Arabidopsis thaliana: one gene and its partners. The protein of the gene in region 1 interacts with the protein of each later gene in a pairwise test. Each region holds a gene or a part of one and is shown on either strand. Other genes may lie near its edges.

Region 1 (9,938 bases):
ACAATAAACAAACATTAAAATTAATAATAAAAAATTGTTGATGATACTCTATAAATACCAACTATTTGCATGCTTTTAGAACAAACGTCTCTTGCAATGCTTAGTCCTATAAGTTCTTAAAAACTTTCTTGCAACACACCTGTTTTAAACTTTAAATTCTCCAAATTTAAGGGTAAAAAATTGGAAGAGCCCAATTAAGGGACCAACCATTAGGGCTGCTCTAAGCCACCACTTCTTTGGTACCGTATATTGATTTTAAAGTTTTCAAAGTTTTCTGCCAATTACCCTTGTACAGCTAAAACTAAAGTTCTTAGTTGTAAAAATATATATATATATATATATATATATATTCTTCATTTTTATTTATTTCAAACAATGTCATATTTTTTTAGTACCAATTCTGAAAGCTAAAATCGTTAAACCGATTTAGTTCATTAATTTTACTAAAATTGAAACATCAAAAAACTCATAAGAATCTAGACGGACATTTTATCGCTATATAAACCGTTTTTTTTTATCTACATATACATTTTTCAGCCATTTTGTAAAATAAATCCTTTAGTTAGGACTTATTTACAAGGAATGTCATTGACATTAATTATTATCAATTAATTAATATTCCTAATTATTAGTATTTTTTTATCTAATATATCTCCATCAATTCTAATTACTTTTAAAAAGGAGAAATCTTAGAACTTTATTAATATTATACTTTATTAAAAATAAATATTGTAGTTATTTAAAGTTTAAAAAATGTTTAGAATATTTAACGAAAAAACGTTTAGAATATATATAATATATGAAATCTATAAAATTAAATAACCATTTCAAAAGAAAACTTTTAAATAGATTTGAATTATAAATCTTTTTATAAAAATATTACTAGACCAAAAATTAAAATATAATGTTTACTTTTACCGAACTTGATTAGATGGTGGGATGGGTTTAGAATATTACAGTTCAGTGAATTTATAACAATTAAATAACATACTTAAAAGAAAAATTTTAAATAAATTTGAATTATATATCTTTTAAATTAAAATATTATTAAAACAAAAATAACAAAAAAAAAGATGTTTAATTTCACTTAACGGCGTTAGATTGTAGGACGGGTTTGAGTCAGTAATACGAGACTGTATACCACATGTGAACTTCATTAGATATGTTTAGTTTGACTGAACGGGATTAGGTGGTAAGACGAGTTTGGGTCTATTGTAATACGAGAAGTTATACCTGGTGGGCAGCTATGTGACAACTACAAGTTTTTTTTTTCCTCATGTAACATGCTATGGTCTACAAGATCTCGTGCACTGGAACCCATGGTTATAGACTCGAATCCATTAGTAAGGGTAGATATAACAATCAAAATACAATTATCTATACTATTAATTAGGAAGCATTTTGTGAACTACAACATTGTAAGGGTAGTTTAAAACTAAGTAAATAAATTTTTGCATGGGTAATTTAGTAAATTAACAACTACTAAAATATAGGAATATCTTTAAACATGCAAATATATTGTATGTTTAATTCAAAAATGCATATATGTTAACTAAATTATTTTCGTAAGATATTATTAGATATTTTCGAATATGGCAATCTAATAACAAATTATCATTTTGTTTAGATTTAATAATTTCCTTAACAAAACTATGCTGATTAAATCTCATTTGTGTACATGACAAAAAAGACTTTTTCAATTATAATTTTTCAGATATGAATTTTTTTTATTATATTTGTCGTATATAATCTAAACGAAATACTTATATCATTTAAAATACAGCTTATTCAAAAGCTTATTTTTTGGATTCTAAATATCTAGAAAATATTTCCAAGGTATATTAAAATATTTTAACATTTCATTAGAGTTTCAATGATTTAAAGTTTTAGAATATATTTTTTGTTTTTTAAACGGGTAGTTTCATTATTTTAAATATATATAACTAACCCAAATTTTTAATATATTTTTAAAAAGAATTATAATAATTCTATATCTCAAGATTATTTTATTTAGAGCCAGATAAATTATTCAATTTCAAATCAAATAATTTATTTTATTTTGTATCATATTGTTACAAGATTTTGGAATACACATTCTTCTAAAATTGATTATTTTCTTTTTGAAATAACATTAAAATAAATTTAAATACCAATGTTTTAATTTTAATGCAAATTTAAGAAACTATTGAATTTAGATCAAGATGACTAATTTAACTAATTACAAGCTATTTTTTAATTTACACAGTTTTTGCAATTAGTTCAAAATAATTCTCTAAATTTACTCACATTAAACTATCTCTTAGTTTTATGATTTTGTTAAGATTCGTTTCTTGAAGTTAAGCAAGTTTATCAAATAAATTCAAATATATATTTGATTAATTATATATTATATCAACCAGAGGATTTCTGGATTTGAGATAATATATCAAGTCGGTGTTTATTATTTATATTAAATAGTAAATATAATTTTGTTTTCATATATGTGCGCGTACACATGAACAAATGTATGAGTATGACATATTATAGTTGATAGATCATTTATTTTTTCAATTTGTTTTCATGTTTTAATTTATGGTATGTTTACAAATTTTAACAAAGCATATGTTAATCCCCAAAAGTTACAGCTGTATTTGGTATTGTGTTTAACGATAAGCAAAAATAACTCGGAATATGATATTTAATGTAATATAACGAGAATAGAAATTGCGAAAAAGGAACGACATGGAATAAGCAAATTTTAGATTACAACAAGTTACAATTTAAGCAAATTTTAGTTTGCAATCAAATATGTAACATGTGTTTTCAATTTATACAGCATAAAAATGTTCAAAATAATAAATGTTATTATAGTATGCTCTATAATAGTTAAAATTTAGAAACAAACAAATGTAATTTAATATTTATGAACAAAATATAAAACAATAAGAAGAAAGAAGTCAATTAATTTTGTAATATTTTTATTATATCATATCATATAAAAATATACTATGAATTACATTTGTGTTTGTCCCAAACGAATTTTTGCTTCCGTCACGTTCTGTTTCTAATCGGAATACAAAATTTGTCTTATACTAGAAATACATTCTCTTATGAGATATAAATTGGAGAACATGTAAGATATAATGGAACATGATAAAATTGAATGAGAATTACGCCTATATCTAAATATTTATATTTCTCGCAAACGTATTTAATCATTTTAATGGTTTTATATACGGTTTGATAGTTTACAAGTTTAATAAAAATCTACCTGACCATTAACTTGATTCAGTTTGTTCTCGGTTCGACCGTTTGATTGTTAAGAATTTTAAAATACTATTAAAATCATTATTATTTCAAATATTTCAACCAACTAATATAGTTTAGGTTATATATATATATACTATAACTATATAAATAATTTGTTAAGATCAATCTAACTTATATTATATTTCAATCTAAGATTTTTTTTCTAATTTACTCTTCAGTTTCAAACTCCAAAAATAGACTTATGGTTATAATTATGTCATAAGCAAACATAAATAATATTTTATATTTTTATGTGTACATTATAATTATTCAATACAGTATATACTACTAAAACAACAAAATAATCATATATTTAATAAAAAATTATTACAACACATTTTAAAAAATATGACATAGTAATTGTGCGGGTCAGAATCTAACAAATAATATTAATAAAATAAATATAATTTAAATTTAAATTATTTAGTTATAACGTAGATTTTAAATTAATGAACTGTACGTTATTGTTCCTATATTTTTTAACAGTAAAAATCAAACATAGTAATTGTATATTAAATAATATACAGATATAAAAGTTGTACATTCAGAAAATACAAAATATTACATTATATATATTTTTAATCGACTAAACAATTAAATTTTGATTCTTAAAAAACAAAATAGTCCCGCGGTGTAACGCGGATTAAAATGCATAAAACTATATGAGATTATTGATATCTCAGTTGTTTATATTTGGATTCAGGTATCAGCCGGATTTTACTAGATACTACTTATCTAAGATCACTTCATTGGTCCGTGTAGACCGGGTTCATCCCTAACCGTAACCTCTTCCTCCAAAACCGTAACCAATTAACCAGACCATGCGACCTTACGTTTCTATTAAACGGTCACAGTTGTATGCATTATCCTTATCCAAACACAACAACATGGACGCCACGTGGATTCTCAACGTTTGAAATCTGAACCGTCCATTAACTCAAAAAAGGAATAACAAAAGTCAAAACCACCAAAAGTCATCTCGATCCCACGGCTAAAAATTATTAATACACGTATCGTGATTAGCCATTAATTAACTAAAGTCTCCAGGTTTTTTTCGAACTAAATTCCCGATATTCGCTGTAACAATATTGAATAGAACGAGTTGTCAAACCAAAATTAAAAATTTATTTATGCAATATTCTTCGCAACAAGAAAACTATTTGTTATTAATTAATATTTTAACCTAGTTTTTCTTCTCCACCATCCAAGATTCTTTGAGATCTTATCTGTTTTACAGTTACTAAAACTCTGCAAATATATATTAAAAATTTGCACGATCTCTTTAAAGTTTTTTCTTAATTGTTTTCTCACTCTGCCCTCTTCTTCTTCTCTTTCGTTTGTGGCTCTCACGCTCTTATGTTTTAGTTTATTCAACAATGAATCTATCAATGTGAGTTGTTTTGTTTTCTTTTTTTTCAGCTCTCTATTGGCTCAATGATTGATCTCAATGCATTCTTCTTTATGGTTTTTGTATTCTTTCTTTTTTCTGTTCAGAAAAGTTTGAAGAATTCTCTTGCATGTTTTTACGATTGTCGTCAACAACACTGAGAGATAATTTGAGTCTATAATCTGGTATTTTGGATTAACAGAGATTATGACTAATCCTTCTCGGAAAATCATTTGCTGACGGATAATTTTTCACCAAGGTAAAATTTTCGTAGATCCTCTCTCTAATCATTGGTGAATGTTTTGTTTCCATGTGAAAAAAAAAAAAACATTTCTTCTTCAAGACAAATGTAGTTTATCATGTTCGGTTTTTTCAATACAGTTATGTACAAAGATCATTAACTTTGTTTGCATTTGTCTGCATTGTATAAGAGATTAGAAGATTAATGTTTTTTTTTTTTTTTTTTTTTTTTGTGTGTGGGGTCAAACTGTTGTTTTTGATTGTGTATAATTTTGATTTAGATCTTGCTCATTGTTCTTCTTAGCCATAACATTGCAGATTTTGTTTTCTTTGTTTTGACTTACAATGCAATTTTTATTTTTTTGGGTAAAGTATGGAACATGTGGGTTCATGAGTGAGTATCACTCTTCTACCTCTTTTTGGTATCAACTTGTAGTTTATGTAACTTTTGATTCATATCGTTTTGACTAAATCTTTTGGAACTAATAATAATGAAAGTTTGTGAATGATTTTGCTTTGCAGAGAAGTTTTTAAGATAAGAAGTTTTTTAGAGATGAATTTCACAGAATCAATGAACGTTGTGCACGCCAGAATCCAACAACTTGAACCAGAGAATGCAGCAAAGATCTTTGGTTATCTCTTGTTGATGCAAGAAAATGGCAACCGCGACATGATCCGTCTCGCGTTCTGTCCTGATTCTGTTATGTGTTCTGTCATCAATTGCGTTAAATACGAGTTAGCTAGGAATTCTCATCATTACCACAGCCCTCCTTCTGATCACATTCCTACTCCCAAATTTGGATCATTCACCGGTTCATCGCCTCTTTCGGTTTCGGTTTCTCCTCCCATGAAAACCGGTTTTTGGGAGAATTCAACCGAGATGGATACCTTGCAGAACAATCTTCAGTTCTTGAATTTTGAGGATCCTTTGACCAGCCCTGAATTCTCTAACGGGTTCTTCTCTCAAGAACGTCAATGTTTGCCTTTGCGAACTAGCCGAAGATCCCCGAGTTTACCCGAGTTCCCGGTAAAAATCTGCCATTACTTCAACAAAGGGTTCTGCAAACACGGCAACAACTGTAGGTACTTCCACGGGCAGATTATACCGGAGAGGGAGAGTTTTGCTCAGATGTTTAATCCAAACAACAACCTAAGTGACGAAGAGCATGTTGTTTCCCCTGTATCTCTTGAGAAGCTAGAAGGTGAGATCATTGAGTTACTCAAGTTAAGAAGAGGAGCTCCAATCTCCATAGCTTCATTGCCAATGATGTACTACGAAAAATACGGTAGGACTCTTCAAGCTGAAGGATATCTCACTGAGTCACAAAGACATGGCAAAGCTGGCTATAGTCTCACCAAGCTTCTTGCTCGCTTGAAGAACACGATTCGCCTCGTCGACAGGTTTGTTAATTAGTTATAATAGTACTCTTTCTATTTCAATCTAAAGTATTGTTTTCTTATAGTGTTTGAATTTGTAGGCCTCATGGGCAACATTCAGTTATATTAGCAGAGGATGCATCAAAGTTTGTGGAATACACTGGAGAGAGAAATGAACATGGAGCAATCCTTGCTGGTTCTAGACAGATTTACTTAACGTTTCCGGCAGAGAGTAGTTTCACTGAACATGATGTCTCAATCTACTTCACCTCATATGGACATGTGGAAGATGTGAGGATTCCTTGCCAGCAGAAAAGAATGTATGGATTTGTAACATTTGCTTCCTCAGAAACAGTTAAACACATTCTTGCTAAAGGCAATCCTCATTTCATTTGCAATGCACGTGTTCTAGTCAAGCCTTACCGGGAAAAATCACGCTCTAGTCGATACCTCGACAATTACAAGCCTCTACACGGCATGCGATATGGCTCTAAATTTATTGAGAGAGACATAGAGATGAACACATGTAAGTAATTAACAAAATCAATTTATGTGTGTGTTAATCTTTTGTATAATGGTTTTTCTTTTGTGTTGTTTTTAGTGCCACCGCGGGTTAGTGAGAGCTCAAGAATGAGGAAGCCATTTCTTAGTGAGCCTGAACAATCAGTTTCTAAGTCCTTACCTACTAATTACTCCTACCTCGGCTTCTCCTCGGATGACTTCAAGTTAACATCAAATGGTAATTACACTTTCAACTTAAACCTGGTAATCATAGGTTTAGAAATTTACTATTAGTTGCTTGATTTTTTTACTTGTAGCGGAGCAAGAGGAACAAGCAGAACGGTTGAGCTACCTACTGGACTATTTGAACACGGAAGATAATGTCATGAACATAACCACTAACTACAGAGACAATGATCGGTATGTTTAGATCTTTAACAAACACATTTTGTGATTTTTGTAATCTTGATTTAATCATATATATGATGTTTTTATTCAGGAGAACTCATTGTGAATCGTTGGACAGTCAAGTCCTGAATCTACCCGAGAGTCCGTTTTCTTCCCTTTCGGGGAAGGAGATTTCAACGGTTACATAGAGAGAAAGACTGATACCTAACCAAAGGGAGAGAAAAACATAGGAGCATAAAGGTTAGAGGGAATCCCCAAAGATCTAATCAATCGGCAAAAAAGAGATTTGTTTTTTCATTATCTTCTTTCGGTTTTAGACTGATCGATGGCATGGAGACTTTTAGGTTCTTTAGCAATAACACCACAAAGAAAAGGAAATAAAAAGTGACAGAGAAACACACAAAGAAGAGCTGTTAGCTTCAGGTTTACAAAAAGAGCCGAGCAGTTTGAGAAACATTAAGTAAAGGGGTATAATAATAATTATAATAACATTTGGAATGTTTTATGAAGGTTAATTTTCTATTTGTTCTTTTTCTTTTCAACTTTTTTTATGCTACTTCATCATATTTCATTGTATCATATCCTTTTTAGTTTTAAGAAAAAAAGGTTTTCTTGTATATATATAAAATAATAATAATAATAATTGAAATTTAAACATTTATAAAGTGGTTTCCGCAAAATTTAGAAATATTGCCATCAAGGCATCAATGAATGAAGGCGCTCTTGTATAACTTTTTATTATTACTTGGGCGAAACCCGCACCAAGCAGTAGACTTTTTTTTTAATGTAATTTTGTTAAGTTGTATGTAAGTATTGAATGTTCTTTTTCATGATTCATGATATATATATATAGAAAAAGAGATTCATTAGAAAGTGATTGAGAACACAATGCATTTGTTGATTTTTGTTTTAGTAAGATCTATATAGCCTTTATAAGTTTTGGAAGCTAATTTTTTGCTTTATGAACATCTATTGAGTCGTTAAAAATAAAAGTGAAAAGAGTTAAAAGGTGCTAATTCTGGAGAAGTTAAAGTCATTTTAGATTCTTTAGAATATGTTATATGGAGTTATTATCTTTGATTTTGTTCTTCCACATGCATACTTGATTCATATGTTGAAGAGACATAAAAAGCTAAAAACTATGTTTGTTTGTTTTTCAGAATTTGAAAATTAAAATTTTTGTTTTTTTTCATAGGAGTATACAACGTACTCAAATGATTATTCGTTATTGATTAAGATCCACAATAACGCTTAGTAAATCTGATAAGATCCTTGAATATTTTGAGGAAGAAACTCAAAAATCTTTAATGTCTCTTCTTTAAGATTCTTCTTCCATTGACCTTCTTCCTCGATGTTTCCTTCGGCTAAGACTTCATTCAGTTTGGAAATAAGCTTTTGAACCAAAAAAAAGATAATAGATGCACATTGAAGAACAAAAAAAATAGGGACGAAAATCGAATTGATCATTGGAGATTTGAGAGTAACCGTACCTCAGAGATAAATTTCATTAGGCCTTAAAGAACAAAAATGACATCTTAGTTGTAATAATTTTTTCCTTGTTTACACAATACATCAACAATGTCATCTGTAATATTTTTCAGTGTAAGCTTCTTCTCCAAAACTTCCAAATATGTTGATGATTTTTATCGTGAAAACGCTAGGTTTTTCTCTATCAAAATCATAGCATCAAACCAAACTGAAAAATGATAAGATACTGTATTGTAATAATATTATTTATCCGGAAGATCCAAAAATTGAAAATATTTTTTTTAGTTTGTCATATTCTTTTTTTTTTTGTTTGTAATTTGCATATTACTTGATAATTTGTCTTTATGAACCAAATGCATATTTGAAAATAAAATTTAATTAGTTTGAATAATTAGGAATAATTGTATTTTATTATTCGTTATATTTAAATTTCACATTTTATCATAATAATATAATATTTTTGGCATTTTAATACTTTGTATTACTATATATTATATTTTTTTGTTATTTTTAATTTAACCGTAATAACACCTGCTGGTTAACCAGTCATAAAACTCTTGCAAACGCTCCAATTTTTAACCATTAAACTAGTAGTTCAAAATGTAACATAACATTTGAAACTACAACCGTCCGCTTCCGCAGACTCCCGCATTCATAACTGCAAACGTTGTATTTAAATCAGCCTGACCCTTAATAATTTATTTTGGTTGGACATAGGCCAATAGATTTTTCCTCGAGATTACATTTTCTAATTTTAATTATGTGGTTAGATTTTGTAATTATAATTATAGTCTCTCTTTGCCAATATCCCTTATATATTAATTGAGAAACATTTTCTTAAAACAACTTTATACTTTCGGGTGATTAACGAAAACGCCATGCTTATATGTCGTTCTCACATAACTTCTCAATCTATTTGATTAAACATCCAAATTTTGTTAGGATATTTACAAATTTTACCATTAGTTTTACTTATGTTTTTTTCTCCAATTAATTTATGCTTTTGAATTTACTCAATTATATTTAAAAAAAATACGATTAATATATGCAATTTAAAGATACAAATCTATATAAAAGGAAGTACTTAACGTTTTGTGTATCTATTAATATAACAATATATATATATATATATAATTCAATATGAACTCTAATGAGTTGAAATTTTTAATTCAAATGAGTGATGGTTCAAATAAGTTATTGGGTCAAATGATTAGATAGATCAAATGAGTTGGGTTGCAATGAGAACCCA
Region 2 (7,933 bases), about 12 Mb from region 1:
CTGTTTAAAAAAGGAAATCCATTTGTTATAGAAAAAAGGAAAATGATTTATGTGAAAACTGAATATTACCTTTGTAGTTATTTTTATTCTGCGTTTGAACTATGAAGCTGTTAATTTTCCATTTCTTAGGGTTTGGGTTTCCTATGAAGATGAGTGTGCGTCTTAGACTTTTGGTGCCAACTATCTCTATTTGCGTGAATCAATGTTCAGATTTAATATGGTTTGTGTTATCATAAGAATTTTATTTCAATATAGATGGTCATTACTATGACAAGAGATATTCAACCTACATGGGCTAGCGAAGCCCACAACATAGCCCAATACAGCTAGTTTTCTTTTTAAAATGCAGTCATGCAGATATGTGTTCAATAAGTTCTGTTTTGTTTTAATGTGAACAAAGAGGGAGGATCGGAGCTTTTTCAACTTATAAGATTTTAAGTTGAATTTGTGAATTAATTGTGGTAAAGATCATTGCAAGAGTGATGAGGACCTACATGAGCATAGATCGTGTTCCGGACAAATCTGCCCGATTCAGAAATCAGAATCCTCATTGGTTAGGCGGACATATCACATATGTAAACGACTTTATCCATGACTAAGCTAGTGTAGGCGTGTAGCCACACAAAAAACTTAAGAATATTGTGGGGTTATTTTTGTAGTATTCATTACCATTTCCAAGAAGTATAGCTACCGATGATTTGTTCACTAGTATAGTGGCCGCTATTGTGTTGTCGTGGCCATGGATATTGACTTGGTAACTAATTTTGTAGCTGGTCACAACATAAAGTTTTGTAACAATTCATATACGTAACATGAATTGTCTCATAAACATACAATACCAATAGAGACTGTGGAAATGCCACCCTCACAAACTGTATATACAGATATGAACTGTTCTATAACTTGCTACATAAAGTACTAGTAAACCAATTGAACCCAAGCACAAGTTACTCCAAAACAATATACAAGTTACTCCGTAACTCAATCTCAGCAAGACGACATTTGCGCAGCTTCTCAAGACTGATGCAACCGTGTGGCTCCACTAAAGCTCTTTTATTGAATCTCATAAAATTCTCTTGTATATGTTCCCTTGTTTTTATACCTTTTTGGCAAAGTAGCAATTATATTTATAGGTCTAACTTCTTGTACGCCCCAACTTTCATTCCTTACTGATATTTACAATTTAGCAACAACAAAAAAAATAAACACAAACAAATATCGATCAAAGCGTTCTGACTAGATCATGTGGTTTAGATCAAAATTAAAGCACTATCGTAACTAAACATACGTAATTTATTATAGTATTACAATGTGTTCATCTAATTGAATAGATGGCATACTAAGTAAAAAAGATGAATGCAACAATCAATGTATATACATAATTCAATAAATACTTAATTAAAAGATATAAATACAAATATAACACTAGGTCAAAGTTGGCCAATAAGAATAATTCTTTTGTGGCAATCATATAGACTACGGCATGGTCTTATGCTATTGGTGTGAGATTGGAGTTGATTTGTTCGTGCGAAGTTTGCTCTGACTATAATATTCAATGTTGACCACATATTATGTAAGCCCATACGTCATCTAGGTCTTTAAATCAATATCTTATATGACACACTTTTAGATTCCCCATTCGGTCAAATGTTTTATTAATTTAGAAAGTAAGTTTATATTGTTTCAGGTTATGTTTTTGTTTGTTAAATATTGTGCTTTTTCTTCAACCACAAGTTTATATGATTGAAAAATAATTCATCAACATCATGCATGTAATGACAATATTTTTTTTGTTTTTGTGTTTCTGATAAGGCGCAATGACAATATTCAACCCCATAAAAAAATCCCTCAACCATTTTTAAAATGGCACGAATCGTCCAAATTGCTTATAATAGAAATATTAGATTAGAATCCACAGTCAGATCCCACATATTATTATTAAAGAGATTCATCGCATATTCCATTCCAGTTGTTTTATGATGACTTGTGCAGAGTGTATTCCGTAAAACTATATATGTAGCGAATAGAAACAGAGTTTGTCCTTTAATTTTGAATATTCATCCTAATTAACCATGAACTTTTATATATTACATAAAACAATTTAAAAACACACTCAACTGTATTGGATGACATAAGCGACTTTTAATTAGCAAAAATATTATGCTATTTTATTTATGTGATTTATACAGTACGTTGTTTATTAAAATAAAATGATTGTGCAAAACACATATGTATCTATATATATATATATATATATATATATAAAGACATTAAAGTCAAATGATAGAAAATACATTATTTACCTAAATAATTGGTGTTTACATGTTTATATATATTAAAGTGTTTCTTTGATTATATGTTTGTCATTTGCTCATTTACCTAAATAATTAGATATTCATCATGGTCATTTAGGTAAATTAATTTTTTGGTGAGTCATTTAGGTAAATTATTAACCCTTTAATGTTCAGGATGAAAATAATTATTTAAATCCACCACATATATAATAAATAATTAATTTTAACTTAAAATGTTGACCGTAATTAACACAAGACTTGGATCATAATTAATGAATTTTGTATAAGACAGTCGTTTTTTTTTTCGTCTTTTGAGACACGCAATCGATTTTGGGTTAACACAAACCATTAATACAACTACATAGTGGGTCGGTCGATGCAGTCCGTAATGTAACGTTTGTTAAGGAAAATTAAAGAGATGAATACAAAGAATTGTTTTTAAGGAACAAAAAAGTGTGTGTAATGTTTATGACCAAAATATCCTCTAGGTTAGACAAACTCTCTATAATATTGGTCAACAAATACATGCGTGTGCGTCTATATATAACATAGATGCAGAGAATAGACATCTTTGCTGGTTCTTTGGCTTGTACCCAAACCCATCTTTGACTTCAAAAATAAAATAAAAATAATCATAATTGACATCATCGGATAATGCATAGCGGGAAGAGACCTCTATCACCAGAATCAATGGCCGGAAATAGAGAAGAGAAAAAAGAGTTGTGTTGTTGCTCAACTTTGTCGGAATCTGATGTGTCTGATTTTGTCTCTGAACTCACTGGTCAACCCATCCCATCATCCATTGATGATCAATCTTCGTCGCTTACTCTTCAAGGTAATTTCATCAGATCCTTTTTCCAATAATTTTAATTGCTATACTTTATAACTCGAGTGATTGTCTTTTCCATTGGTGATTCTCTTTACACATAGGAATGATTTAATCTTGGATTTTGCAATTGGTAATCCTTTAGTGGCTGCAGCATGGCCTTGATCAAATAGAGATATAATTTCATGTATGGCCACAATGCATTAGTTCAATTTACTATATGATTTTTTTAATGAATGTTCATGGTTAGATTTTCTTGAAAAAACCTGTCGGCTTTATTGGTTGGACAAAATTGATCATATTTGGCTTTCGGACAAATATGATTGGCAAGGCTTGGTTGCAATGGTCGTATTTTGGTTGAGATAACTAGCCAGAGAGAGTTTTAGGATTGTAACATGGGGAAAACGTATTTAAAATGATCAAACTTAATTTATATCCTAATTATATCATTGGTGTGATACATAAGTATATATATAGTTAATTACCAATTACGAGAGAGAGGAATGTATAAATGTAGGTTTGGCCTAATATATAGATTTCATAAGTAGATGTAGAAGAGGGGAATAAAAGTTGATGTAGAATGATCATATCATATGATTCAAACGCCCTTTAATAATCTTTACGAAATGCCTCTACACCGATAGTATACGTTATATTCATAGACATGCACGTCACATTTAAGTCACCATTTTCATGACAAGAGTGAACTTACAATTTTCATCATTTTTCTACAGAAAAAAGTAACTCGAGGCAACGAAACTACAGAGGCGTGAGGCAAAGACCGTGGGGAAAATGGGCGGCTGAGATTCGTGACCCGAACAAGGCAGCTCGTGTGTGGCTTGGGACGTTCGACACTGCAGAAGAAGCCGCCTTAGCGTATGATAAAGCTGCATTTGAGTTTAGAGGTCACAAGGCCAAGCTTAACTTCCCCGAGCATATTCGTGTCAACCCTACTCAACTCTATCCATCGCCCGCTACTTCCCATGATCGCATTATCGTGACACCACCTAGTCCACCTCCACCAATTGCTCCTGACATACTTCTTGATCAATATGGCCACTTTCAATCTCGAAGTAGTGATTCCAGTGCCAACTTGTCCATGAATATGCTGTCTTCTTCGTCTTCATCTTTGAATCATCAAGGGCTAAGACCAAATTTGGAGGATGGTGAAAACGTGAAGAACATTAGTATCCACAAACGACGAAAATAACATGTTAATGGCATAAATATCTCTTCGTCCAAGTTATCAAACGCATTGACCTCCGGCTTTGATCATTTTAGGCGCTTAATCTCTTTACGACTTCATTTTGGTAGTCTTTAAAGAGTCTATGGAGTGGATTTAGCTAGGAATCAGGCCTTATGGATGAAAAATATATAAATTTTGAACATGACTATGCAAGAATGGGATGAAGACTACTTAGCTTGGAAAACGTCCTGATAGGTCATGACGACTATATCCACAGAAGATGACCGACGGAGACAACAACATGCCTCACCTGATCGACCGATCAAATGAGATAATGTGTTGACCGGACCGGTCGGATCAGGTTGGGTCGAGTATATCAGGTAGAAAAAAGCTCGTACATGGTGCTTTATGTCTTTCCACTCCGAAGTAGCTTGCTAGTTTATCCTTTTGTATCACGTACGAAAGAGATAAAAAAAAAAGTTCAAAAACAAATATAGAGGGTATACACATGATGAGGGTGTTCGAGTTTCCAAAACATAAGCTAAATTTTTTTAAATATGTACTTACATTTATATCTGTCTTATTATCCAATGCTCATATATTTTTCAACGCGTTGAATGATGAAATGGTTGGTAAATAAAAATGAAACTAAACTAGGTAACAGTCTGCATATGAAACGATTAAAAAACGATTCAAGTAAAATTATTATAAATAAATTATTATATAGGATACACATATCGACTGCTAGTGTATAAAACAAAACATGTAGTAAAAGTTTTTTTGTTCTATTCAAATTTGCGATTATTTCATATAAGTGTATCTTTCACCAGTTAAATAACTGAATGGAGAAAAAGGTTCAACATTATGAAAAATTATTCATGAAAATTATTATCTGTGAAAATATGTTTTATGTTTTTAAAAATCAAATTCACATCTTGTGTGTTTTATTGAGTAATCAGAACCATTTAACCTGTTTTTTGCAAAAAAAAAAAAAAATCACGTAATTTGATGGACAAATCCACAAAGAATCGCGATCACAAAATTAAAATCAGAACTAATATGCCTCTTAGATGATTACATGTGGACACTATCAAATCTACACTATTTATGTTAAATGCTATGTATCATCAAAACATAATAATTTACGTATAGATTCATTAAACAATAATAGTATATGATATCATAAATTGCTATTGTTTTATATAGTGTTTCTCAATTAATCATAATAAATAATATAGGTATGAAATCTAAACATTTTAATACCAAAATCATTTGTATGTATTGACCTCATAAAAGAGGATAAAAACTATCCTAATATATTAAACCCAATTTAGAACACAAATTACCATCATAACTCACAAATCACAACAAACAAAATACAAAAAGAAAAAAGAAAGAAAAAATATAGAGATGAACTCAAAGAAAACAGGCTTCTTTTAATCTTGTTCCTTGTATCACCCTTCTGTGAGTTCTTCACTCATACAAATATATTATAATTCATTTACTCATATATCAGTGTGTTAATATGTATAACAATGAAACACACACATATATAATTTATATTTATGTTCTAATGACTATAACATATAGGTGATACCCTGATTTTTAATGGATTTTTAAAAGTAAAAGAACGAATACTATTTAATGTTGATTCAATATCAAGTGCTATTTGCTGTGGTGTAAAATATGAAAATTTTAGATTCATTTTTTTCAAATGAATTAATTTATCTAGGAATTTTCAATTTGTTAGTTTCTTTATTGTGAGCTTAAAGATTTCTTAAAAACAGTAATCAAGTAATCAACACAAACAAAAATTGCGGTTTTAGTTTCAGATCAGAATCAATTGAATTGGCAAAGCAGCCATATTTTTTTATTGGATTATAAATCGATTTTTGGTTTTTAGGATATATAAAACTAATGTTAACAAAAAAATTGTACGGTTTTTCATATCAGTTTGTTATGCTTAACTAGGCGGTTCAAATACATTTGGTTTATCCAAATTGAACACTTACAACTTTTTAAAAATTATTATCTAGTATTGTTTTCTTTTGGATAATCTATTTGAAGGTATGACGATGACAGAAAGCAAAAGATGTCACAAAGACTCAGATTGCAAAAACAAAGTACCATGTGCAATTCCTGTTGCCTGTCTATATGGCGGTTGCGTTTGTACATTAAAGCAGTCTTTCTCTGCTTGTAAACTTATGTGTGCACAGCAGGGAAAAAACACTATAAACCGTTTTGATTCTGATCATTGTGTTTGCGGCGTTAAGTAAGAAAACAAACATGTTGTAATATAACAAGAGAATTTGCAAAACTTGAATAAAAAGTATAATTTAAATTTGTTTACTTTTCTTTTATAATAACAATTCTTTCTATTCAGAATCAAACAAAAGCTACAAAGAATAATTGTAAAGCAGCGCATTACAAAAGTCTTTACACTAGAGGATGAAAATAAGTAGTATTGTTTACTACCCAAGAAAAGATGAACATTGTATTGTATAGTAACAATCTAATTAAGGTTGCTATGGAAACTTTATATATCTGTATCTTTATGTTTGTACTGTATATCTTCCTTTTGTATACATGCAGATTTTTGCTTTAAATAAGTTATACCGTGTTGGCAATGGTCTATTTAGTTCATCTACAATCTCGAAAACTACATTCTTTAGCCCAATTGTAATGTGGTTTTCACCAATGGATAAATGAATAACATAGAGCTCACCAAAGACACAATTTCCAAAGTCGCTTATCGCTCATGATGAAAAGAAGAGTAACCTTAAAACTTATAACACCATGGTTCACAAGATATTGCATGAACCAATAAGAAAAGATGAATACCATACGTACCAAGAAAAAAAAATATAGTAATCAAATAAGATAACGACTGTGCTAATCCTAAATACTTGCCATAAGCTTCAGATCCTTGGACGTCTAAATTTGCATGGAAGACGATATGATAAAGAGCAGTTCAGTGAAATATCGACTGCGGAATGTGGAATCCCATAGCTTTGATACGCAACGAAATCTCGCTATAGACTTTGCCGACAATTTCAAGAGTATCTCCAATACGAGATCGTATGGGATCTGTTCCAAGTTTACTCCTTCATTCATCGGATTCGAACAAGCTCGTGTCTTCATCATGGTAGAGACGCTTCTCTTAAACACTAAAGTCTCTTTTGTTTTCCATTTGCTAAATTGAAACAGAGATCTAAGTGTTTCTTTAAATATAATGAATATATAGGGGTTAATGTGAACTGTCCTAATAGTATGAGGGCCTAAATGCAAATAATAAAATTCTGATAAATTTTTTAATGAAAGGAATTTGGTGGAACAAGTTAAAAATTATTTACAATGGGATAATATGCATCCATCTAAAATCTCAATGGATGTTGAATACTACTAATATTGGTAACAACAACATACTCAGAACACAACATGTCAATAAACCTGTAAACACTCTCTCTAACTTGGCAATAGTCTCACAAAGTAACGTACAACATAACATGCTCACGGATAGCCATCGAGCACGCCTTTGAGTAGGTTTAACCCTTCCGCAGATATGCTCCGCCTCACCCGTGACTGCATTCGGATCTCTATCCTCTGTGGAGGATCCGGAGAGAAGCA
Region 3 (8,196 bases), on another chromosome or scaffold:
AAAAGCATAGATCATAATGGTTCATGATAATTACAACAAATTCAACCATTACCACCTATCTTAGAGACCACTAATACGGAGTAGTTCAAAGCATTAAGCCATCATGGAGTGCAGACAACAGAATACTAACTAAATGGATAAAGCATACCTTAAATATTGAGTTTCAAGTTGGATCCCGAAGGTTGGCAAGATTATCACAGATTCTGAAGAAATCAAAGAAAAGCTAGAATTAGTTAAAACGTGAAGCTGATATCATTTGGTAAGCCTGTAAAGCGTGTATCAGGATGAACCAGGATCTCACCTTTCTTGACGAACTTGCGACTATGTAGCATAACCAAGAAACCACTTAAAAGGCAGCCCCAAGAAAGAGTTCTAGCTGGATTGTCCTGTTTCATGTGAATTATCCCTTTCAACTTAAGTGAAGAAGAAACAAATGGAACAACAACAAAACAAGCTTGTAAAGTAACACAAAAAAAGAAAAGTGCTTTTATACAAACCTTGTCATGTATTAACATAATGCTCACAACAGAATGAAAATATCAAACTATACTCCATCACCAATCCTAAGAAACAAAATGGTATGCCTTTCTCATGATATGTACTAGCAACACTTGTTCTAAGCAATGCATCAGAATCACTCAAATGTCAAGCAGATTCACATCAAAATAACAAACGGCAACAACCAAATTTTCTCTAAGAGCATAATTACCTTTCCAAGCAAAAAGTACATAGAACTCGCCAGAAACACAAGGAAGAAACCAAGCCCCCAACGACGGGCATAACCAGTTCCGCTGCTTCCGTTGATAATCACATGGTGAATATCAATGGCTTCTCTAGTTGACTTACTTCCACTTTCGTGTATGTAAGTGTATCTCTTATTCGAAACAGACAAGCTCACCATTTCAAAGCTAGTTTAGTTGAAAAACAGTCAAATGTATCACCGTCGTTTTACTCCCAACTCATATACGAACCTGCCCAAGGTTAGCTTTCTCAATACCCAAGTAACAATTTTCAAACTTTGAGTCTCAGTCAAATCGGATAGCAACAAAACTTCTCTGCGGCTTTCCGTCGAACACCATGCGTGCGTTATAATAACCCCTCTTGAAATCTCATAAATCTCTCTAACTATCTCCACACAACTTCCTCGAAAACACAGTAGCAATCTATCAAAAAGGACGAAGCAAGGATTCACCCAACGAACGAAAGCCACAATTCTTCGAATTGATCAAATCTGAAACCGGCTTCTCTTACCGGTAAAGAGATAAAAGACGGCACTATGGTGGAGGAGACAACAAAAAGCCAAAAGAGAGAAAATAATACAAACTGTGTGGCGTCCTAAATAAAACACCCTGGCGTTTTTGTTTTATTCATATTAACATCATGCCGTTTTCATCTCGACAATATAAAAACCTAGCTTATTTTTAAGGAAAGGTCAAATCTTAATTAGTTTTGATTTCTCTCTCCAGTACTTCTCGATTCGCCGGCGATCCGAATCTCATTCTTCTGCTTGTCGGAAAAAAAAACCCGTAATTTAAAGTGTGAAGCTTTCGGTTTGAATCATGCGTTGCAAGAGATGCAATGGAAGCAACTTTGAACGCGACGAAGACACGGGGAATTCGTATTGCGGTGGATGTGGGACATTACGAGAGTATGATAATTATGAGGCACAACTTGGCGGCATAAGAGGACCTCAAGGTACATATATACGAGTAGGCACCATTGGTAGAGGCTCTGTTCTTGATTATAAAGACAAGAAGATCTATGAAGCCAACAATTTAATTGAGGAGACAACAGAAAGATTGAATCTTGGTAATAAAACTGAAGTGATTAAGAGTATGATTAGTAAGCTTACTGATGGGGAATTTGGACAAGGTGAGTGGTTCCCTATTTTGATTGGAGCTTGTTGTTATGCTGTGGTAAGAGAAGAAGGGAAAGGTGTTTTGTCTATGGAAGAGGTTGCTTATGAAGTTGGATGTGATTTGCATCAGTTAGGGCCTATGATTAAGCGTGTTGTGGATCATCTAGATTTGGAATTGCGAGAGTTTGATCTTGTGGGTTTGTTTACCAAGACGGTTACTAATTCACCGAGATTGACTGATGTTGATAGGGATAAGAAGGAGAAGATAATAAAGCAAGGGACTTTCCTGATGAATTGTGCGTTGAAATGGTTTTTGTCGACGGGGAGGAGACCAATGCCTTTGGTTGTGGCTGTTTTGGCGTTTGTTGTTCAAGTGAATGGTGTGAAGGTAAAGATTGATGATTTGGCGAAAGATGCTAGTGTTTCGTTGACTACTTGTAAAACGCGGTATAAAGAGTTATCTGAGAAGCTTGTGAAGGTTGCTGAAGAGGTGGGTTTGCCTTGGGCGAAAGATGTTACTGTGAAGAATGTTTTGAAACATTCAGGAACTTTGTTTGCTTTAATGGAAGCCAAGTCCATGAAAAAGAGAAAACAAGGGACTGGGAAAGAATTAGTTAGAACTGATGGATTTTGTGTGGAGGATTTAGTGATGGACTGCCTAAGCAAAGAATCTATGTATTGTTATGATGATGATGCTCGTCAAGATACTATGTCTCGGTATTTTGATGTAGAAGGTGAACGTCAGCTTAGTTTATGTAACTATGATGATAATATATCGGAGAATCAGTTGTCTACAAAGTATAATGAATTTGAGGATCGAGTTTGTGGTGGGACTCTTGCGAAAAGAAGTCAGGGAAGTAGTCAGAGTATGTGGCAAAGGAGATCTGTTTTTGGAATGGTGTCAACTGAAAATTGGTGGAAAGGGAAATCGGAATTGAGTAAAAGGCTTTTGCTCAAAGACTTGTTGGAGAAAGATGTAGGGCTTGAAGCTTTGCCTCCTTCTTACATAAAGGGTTGCGTTGCAGTTGAAAGACGAAGAGAAAAGATTAAGGCAGCTAAGTTGCGGATTAATGCAATACAACATCCTTCTGACAATGTTAGTGAAGGTGCGTTGTCTTTGGAGCTTGAACATAGCAAGAAGAAAAGGAAGAAAGGATCTGAAATTGATTGGGAGGATTTGGTTATACAGACTCTGGTCTTACACAATGTGAATGAGGAAGAAATAGAGAAAGGCCATTACAAAACTTTGTTAGACTTGCATGTTTTCAACTCTGGAGAGGTTTGAATTGAAATGTTTTTCTCTTGGAATTTTTTTATTTCTTACAGTATAATTCATTTAAGGATGTAAAAATCGTTCTGAATGCAGAAATTATCAAAGCAAGCATCACAAGACGATTCAACAATCCATGTAAATGTTTCTCTGAAAATGATTAATAAGATAAACTACTTGTTTCTTTAATAAGCCCTGAAAGAAACAATTTAAGAAAAACAAAAGTCTAATACTGCTTATGACTGACTACCAAATCCATTTCATTGATCTCTCTGATAATTAGAAGTTTCCTCAGCTTGTATTCAATCAGCCTGACATGCCATAATCTTCAACATGATCATAAAGGTTGTAACTTTCCGCCAGTCCCATCTTTCCAACAAGATGCTCATCCCCTACAAACACAAATCACAAGAAATTATCTGAGACAGACACAACTTACTTGACTATTTCTTCAAAGCCAATGTCTCTGTTTTTTTCAGTTACGTGTGAACTAAAAAGGTATCTTTGTTACTTACTTGGGTTTGATAGAACATCTAGCAAGTGAAGGTCTGAGCTAATCTCAGGGCTCTGAAAGCAAAGATCTTCAGGCCTAGGAGCAGTAGTTGTTGCTGTTGTTGTCCCTAACCCATTATTGTTGCTATTTCCATCTGGAAGACCAAGAAGACTCTCTGGCCTCACTACTCTCTTCTCATTCAATGCTTCAACTTCAGTCTCTACCTCAGACTCACCATTATTATTTCCAGAAGAACCTCCACCATGCTGCTTCCTCTTGGATCGAGCACGTCGGTTCTGGAACCAGTTATAGACATTTTGTTCAGCAATCTGGCCGTGTTGGCTCAGCTCTTCTGTTATGTCTTTGATCTTCTGCTTGCTCGGTGTTCCCGTGCCTTGATCGAATATACGTTCCAGAATCTGAAGCTGGACTGGCGTAGGAGTCCACCTCTGTCTAGCTGTCATCTTATGACCTAAAGATGACATCATTGGGTCTGCATATAGTCCTCCCATTCTCCCTCCTGTTACCAACAACAGACAAATGAGCAGAGTTGTTAAAAGTTAAACTAAATAAAAAAACTGAAACTTTATATCTCAAGAACACATCATCAAGCTAAAAACACCTATTTTGGTGGGAAATTCTCGAAGCTCAATTGAAAGATTCAAAGGAGTGATTCTAGAATTCCTCAAGAACCATTATTTTCCTTATTCTTAGCTCAAAAATCCACGAAAAGGATTGGTCTTTGAATCAGATTTAAGCCAACAAATGCTTAAAAGGCAGAGAATTTTCAATTACCCATACACCAAAGTGAAGAAGAATCACTAAAAAATCAATTAAACCACACAAAAATTCTGAATTTTTTTAAAAATTTCAAAAGGAGTCCTTTTTTTATCTTTAGATGAACAGAGAAGAAGAAACTAAATGATAGAAGAAAGGATAGAAACCTGCAAGATCTTGTTGAGCAGTGAGAGTTTTATGCATCTCAACAAGACGCTCACAAATGGTGCCGTAAATAGCAATCTGTTTCCTGAGAGTTTCATACTGCTCATCGGTCATCACCTTCACGTACATTCCTCCTCCGGCGCCGGAGCCGCCATTAACGTCGATCCCTTGAAGATTAGAAGAGTGATGGTTATTGGGTTGTAGCTGATTATCCCATTCCATCATCTCTTTTGTCAGAATTTCGCTCAGAAGATTTCTCTCTTTCTCTGTGTGAACGAAGGAAACAGAGCAAAGTCAGTGCTTTTTCGGGAGTAGAAGGAAAGGTAAAGGCAGAAAAGGACAAAAAAAACTTAATTTATGTTATTCTTTTGTTCTATATTGAAATTATAATATATAGTTTCATTACAAAGGAAAAGACAAATAAGAAGACGGTAATGATTCTTTGACAATCGTTAAAGGAAACTATTTAACCAACGGTTATTTTAGTTCCTAATTTGGAAATTGACCGTTTGAGATTTCACATACGGTTAAACGGCTACTTCCATATCTGAATATTTACATTACCATAATCTAAATGTTATTTGATTTATAGTTGGAGAGAGCCGTTGCTATTTTATTTTATGGAAATAACATGTCTGGATGCAATCGACTTGATACAAATATTAACAGCTAGTTTGATCGTATCAATGAAGTAGATTGTTAGTTTTTTTTTATAGTCGTTGGTTGGTACTTTTCAAGAAACTGAATTACTTTTTTCTTTTCAATATCCATTCTTCAAGTTATGTATTTTGTTTACACCGAAAAGTTTTTTCCTTATGCTTTTTTAGTCCAATTTGTGTTATATTTTTGGGTCAACAGTCAAAATGGTGGTATACAACTTTTTAAAAATGCGATAAAGAGCACTTGTGGCAAAATAAATAAACACTTTTAATTGCCTCTTTTCCTGACCGATTAACTGACATTCCGTTGATTGATAAATTTTGGTTGCGATCTAACTTTTCTGACACATTCTAGGTTATATTTTTCTCAATTATTCTATAGAAGAGTATTAGCTTCACCGTCTTTTGCAATCCCTATCATCTAATTCAATAAGAAACCTTTAAGAAAAACCAAAAAGAAAAAAAAAATTGTTGGGCCAGTCAGGACTTATAAGTTAAGGAGCGGCGACCCAAAAAGAAAATAAATAGTTTCCACGTGTCGTTTAAACAGTAGAATTTGTAGGTGGTCGGTGTCCGCCGCCCATGTTCCACGGGCGCACTTAGATTTTAATATGATCTAATCTGACTCATTAATTGCCAATAAAATTGATCTCTGTCGAATAACCAGGCCAAACAATGAAATGTGACCATGGTCGACAAAAACATGAAGATAAAGAAAAATATAATATGTGGTCATGACTCATGCCGTATCGTAGTCGGGGGCGTAGTAGTGTTTTGTCGGAACGTGTAAATAATTAGCTCTTCTACTTAATTCTGTGACTTTTTTTTTTACACTAATACACAAATTATTACTTTAATTTTTCAGCCAAAACTTGAAATTTATACTTGCTTCACAATTCTATTCAAGTCATTGTCTTCGTAACCTATACGTAAAAATTATCGGAACTTTTGTTTATTTAATTAGTATCGTCGTTTTTTCTTTAAATGATATAACGCCTCATCGTTTTTTCCGGAAAGTGTTTTCGTTTCGGTAATTTTTTTAATTGTCAACATTATGGAAGAAAATAATGAGGTTTGCATGTGCGACCCTAAGTCAAGTATCGAGACCAAGCAGAAGCAGTCTATCTAAATACCAAAAAGTCCATATTCACACAAATATAGATACATTTTATTTATTGTCATTAGATGATAGGAAAATTAGATTAATACTCACAAAATTTAAATATTCTAATACTTGAATTATATATATATATATATATATATATATATTACAGAAAAGAATAATTTACATTAGATGATTTTTTGATTAATTAAGTTGAGATTTTTTACTAACAAAGCTCATTAATTTAAAAAATTTACCAGTATAATAATCATTTATTTTTAAAATTATACATTAGATGATTATTTTCTAGTTTATGTCTAGGAGTAGAACATTCAACCACCGGGACAATATAGAGACACAAACGGAAATATCCAGAACAAGACATTATTTACGTAAGCATTATCAATCGACCAAATGATAAGGAATTTAAATATAGATGAAAATAGTTGCATACAAATTTGTCCATATATATATACATAATCTTAATTACATGACTGACTTAGTGATGAGCCATATTATAACCCATTGGATTCTCTTTGGCCCAGCTTTCTTTGGATTCTTCTTTTAGATTGGAGAGTTTGGTGTACCTATAGCTTCTCTTGTCTTCTATCCTTATTTTATGCTTTCTTCTCTGTTTCCTATCATTGAAATCTATATTCTTAATCCCGGTTTACAAATCTACTTACTGTTGTTTTTTACCCTGTTGACCACTGCTAATTATTATTATACGCTGAATCTTTCCCTACCAAAGAAAATAAATATATACGGTGAATCTTACTTAAAAACGTATATATATAGTAGGATTGTGAAAAGAAAAAGAAAAAAGCTTCAGTATGAACAAAACTTGAACTCAAAGTGAAGACAACTTACTTATTGCACCAGTACTTAAAAAATGATTTATCCAGGCCTATATTTATTATCTCCTAACAGCCCATCTCAGCCCACCAGGTTGACGGTAGGATCAATTGTTGTATAATGGATTAGTGTTTTTTTTGTTTGTGTGTCATTGTGTGCTGCTGTTTACTCACCATCTAGACGTTACAAATGTGTTGATTTTGATCAAATATCGAACTTCGCACTAATAACCGAATCTCTGTTAAAGTTTTCACGTTTTTTGGTGTCTCGGTTTTTCTAATGTCATTACAGAAACCGTTTCACTAGTATTACTTATCTTGATCTTGTTGTATATATTATCCTTCTTGATGGTGAACGAGAACAACGTTTCACTTTAAAAGGAGAATAAGATATTTCAGTTTTCGTTAGGATGGCTGTAGCTTGTAGAGTTGTAGTTATCAATTCAAAGTGGATAAATAAAGTTGAGAAATCCAATAATATATAAAACAAAAGCTATTCAAGGAAAAAAAAAAAAACCCACAAAGTTAAAGAGACCGTATCAGAGGAATGATATATTCAGGATGGGTCTAACTTTGGTTGTTGCTTTCACATACAACCCATTCTATTACGCTAAGAATCGCAATAGAAAATGGCAATTGCAAAATATATATTTTTAGCTTTTATCAAAAAGACAACAAATACTAATGTTTATGAGTTTTTCTTGTATTTTCATTTATTTATAGATCAAAATAGTCGGTGGTCAGAGCACTCAAAGAAAAAGGCAGCGTCATCTCACACCGTCCATCTACATATCGGACGTCTCTCGTGAGACCACGTTAAAAAGGGCAGATCAGATCACCAACTTCATCTTAGAGGGACCCCTATAACAGATTAGCACTTGCCACGTGTACTCTATTGACTTGTTTTCCACAACCTGATTCACATAAAAGAGAAAAGAGTAGAATATCTATCAATTTAGCTGATCTTCTTACCAAAAACAAAAAAATATGATTAATCTGATCATTATAAACACACAAA

What was found. Proteins that work in one complex are often made in the same cells at the same time.
Region 2: the proteins of AT2G05160 (region 1) and AT2G33710 interact in a two-hybrid assay, tested with the Arabidopsis thaliana proteins (one large-scale study listed by BioGRID).
Region 3: the proteins of AT2G05160 (region 1) and WOX13 interact in a two-hybrid assay, tested with the Arabidopsis thaliana proteins (one large-scale study listed by BioGRID).

What each region holds. Positions count from the first base shown.
Region 1 is NC_003071.7:1,856,462-1,866,399, reverse strand, and holds AT2G05160 (CCCH-type zinc fingerfamily protein with RNA-binding domain-containing protein), read left to right. Parts: upstream 1-4,335; 5' UTR 4,336-4,678; exon of another isoform or gene 4,679-4,782; 5' UTR 4,783-4,934; intron 4,935-5,437; 5' UTR 5,438-5,468; coding exon 5,469-6,316; intron 6,317-6,393; coding exon 6,394-6,818; intron 6,819-6,893; coding exon 6,894-7,031; coding exon of another isoform or gene 7,032-7,087; exon of another isoform or gene 7,088-7,110; coding exon 7,111-7,213; intron 7,214-7,292; coding exon 7,293-7,389; 3' UTR 7,390-7,857; downstream 7,858-9,938. UniProt on the Arabidopsis thaliana protein: Possesses ribonuclease activity in vitro.
Region 2 is NC_003071.7:14,255,668-14,263,600, reverse strand, and holds AT2G33710 (Integrase-type DNA-binding superfamily protein), read left to right. Parts: upstream 1-2,861; 5' UTR 2,862-2,948; coding exon 2,949-3,129; intron 3,130-3,854; coding exon 3,855-4,294; coding exon of another isoform or gene 4,295-4,330; exon of another isoform or gene 4,331-4,561; coding exon 4,562-4,636; 3' UTR 4,637-4,792; downstream 4,793-7,933. Other genes in the region: AT2G33705 (F-box family protein), read right to left, coding at 7,241-7,450; PP2CG1 (Protein phosphatase 2C family protein), read right to left, coding at 7,817-7,933.
Region 3 is NC_003075.7:16,872,380-16,880,575, forward strand, and holds WOX13 (WUSCHEL related homeobox 13), read right to left. Parts: upstream 5,073-8,196; 5' UTR 4,789-5,072; coding exon 4,566-4,788; intron 4,142-4,565; coding exon 3,644-4,141; intron 3,521-3,643; coding exon 3,435-3,520; 3' UTR 3,144-3,434; downstream 1-3,143. Other genes in the region: AT4G35530 (phosphatidylinositolglycan-like protein), read right to left, coding at 149-203, 302-386, 710-901; AT4G35540 (POLLEN-EXPRESSED TRANSCRIPTION FACTOR 2), read left to right, coding at 1,560-3,143.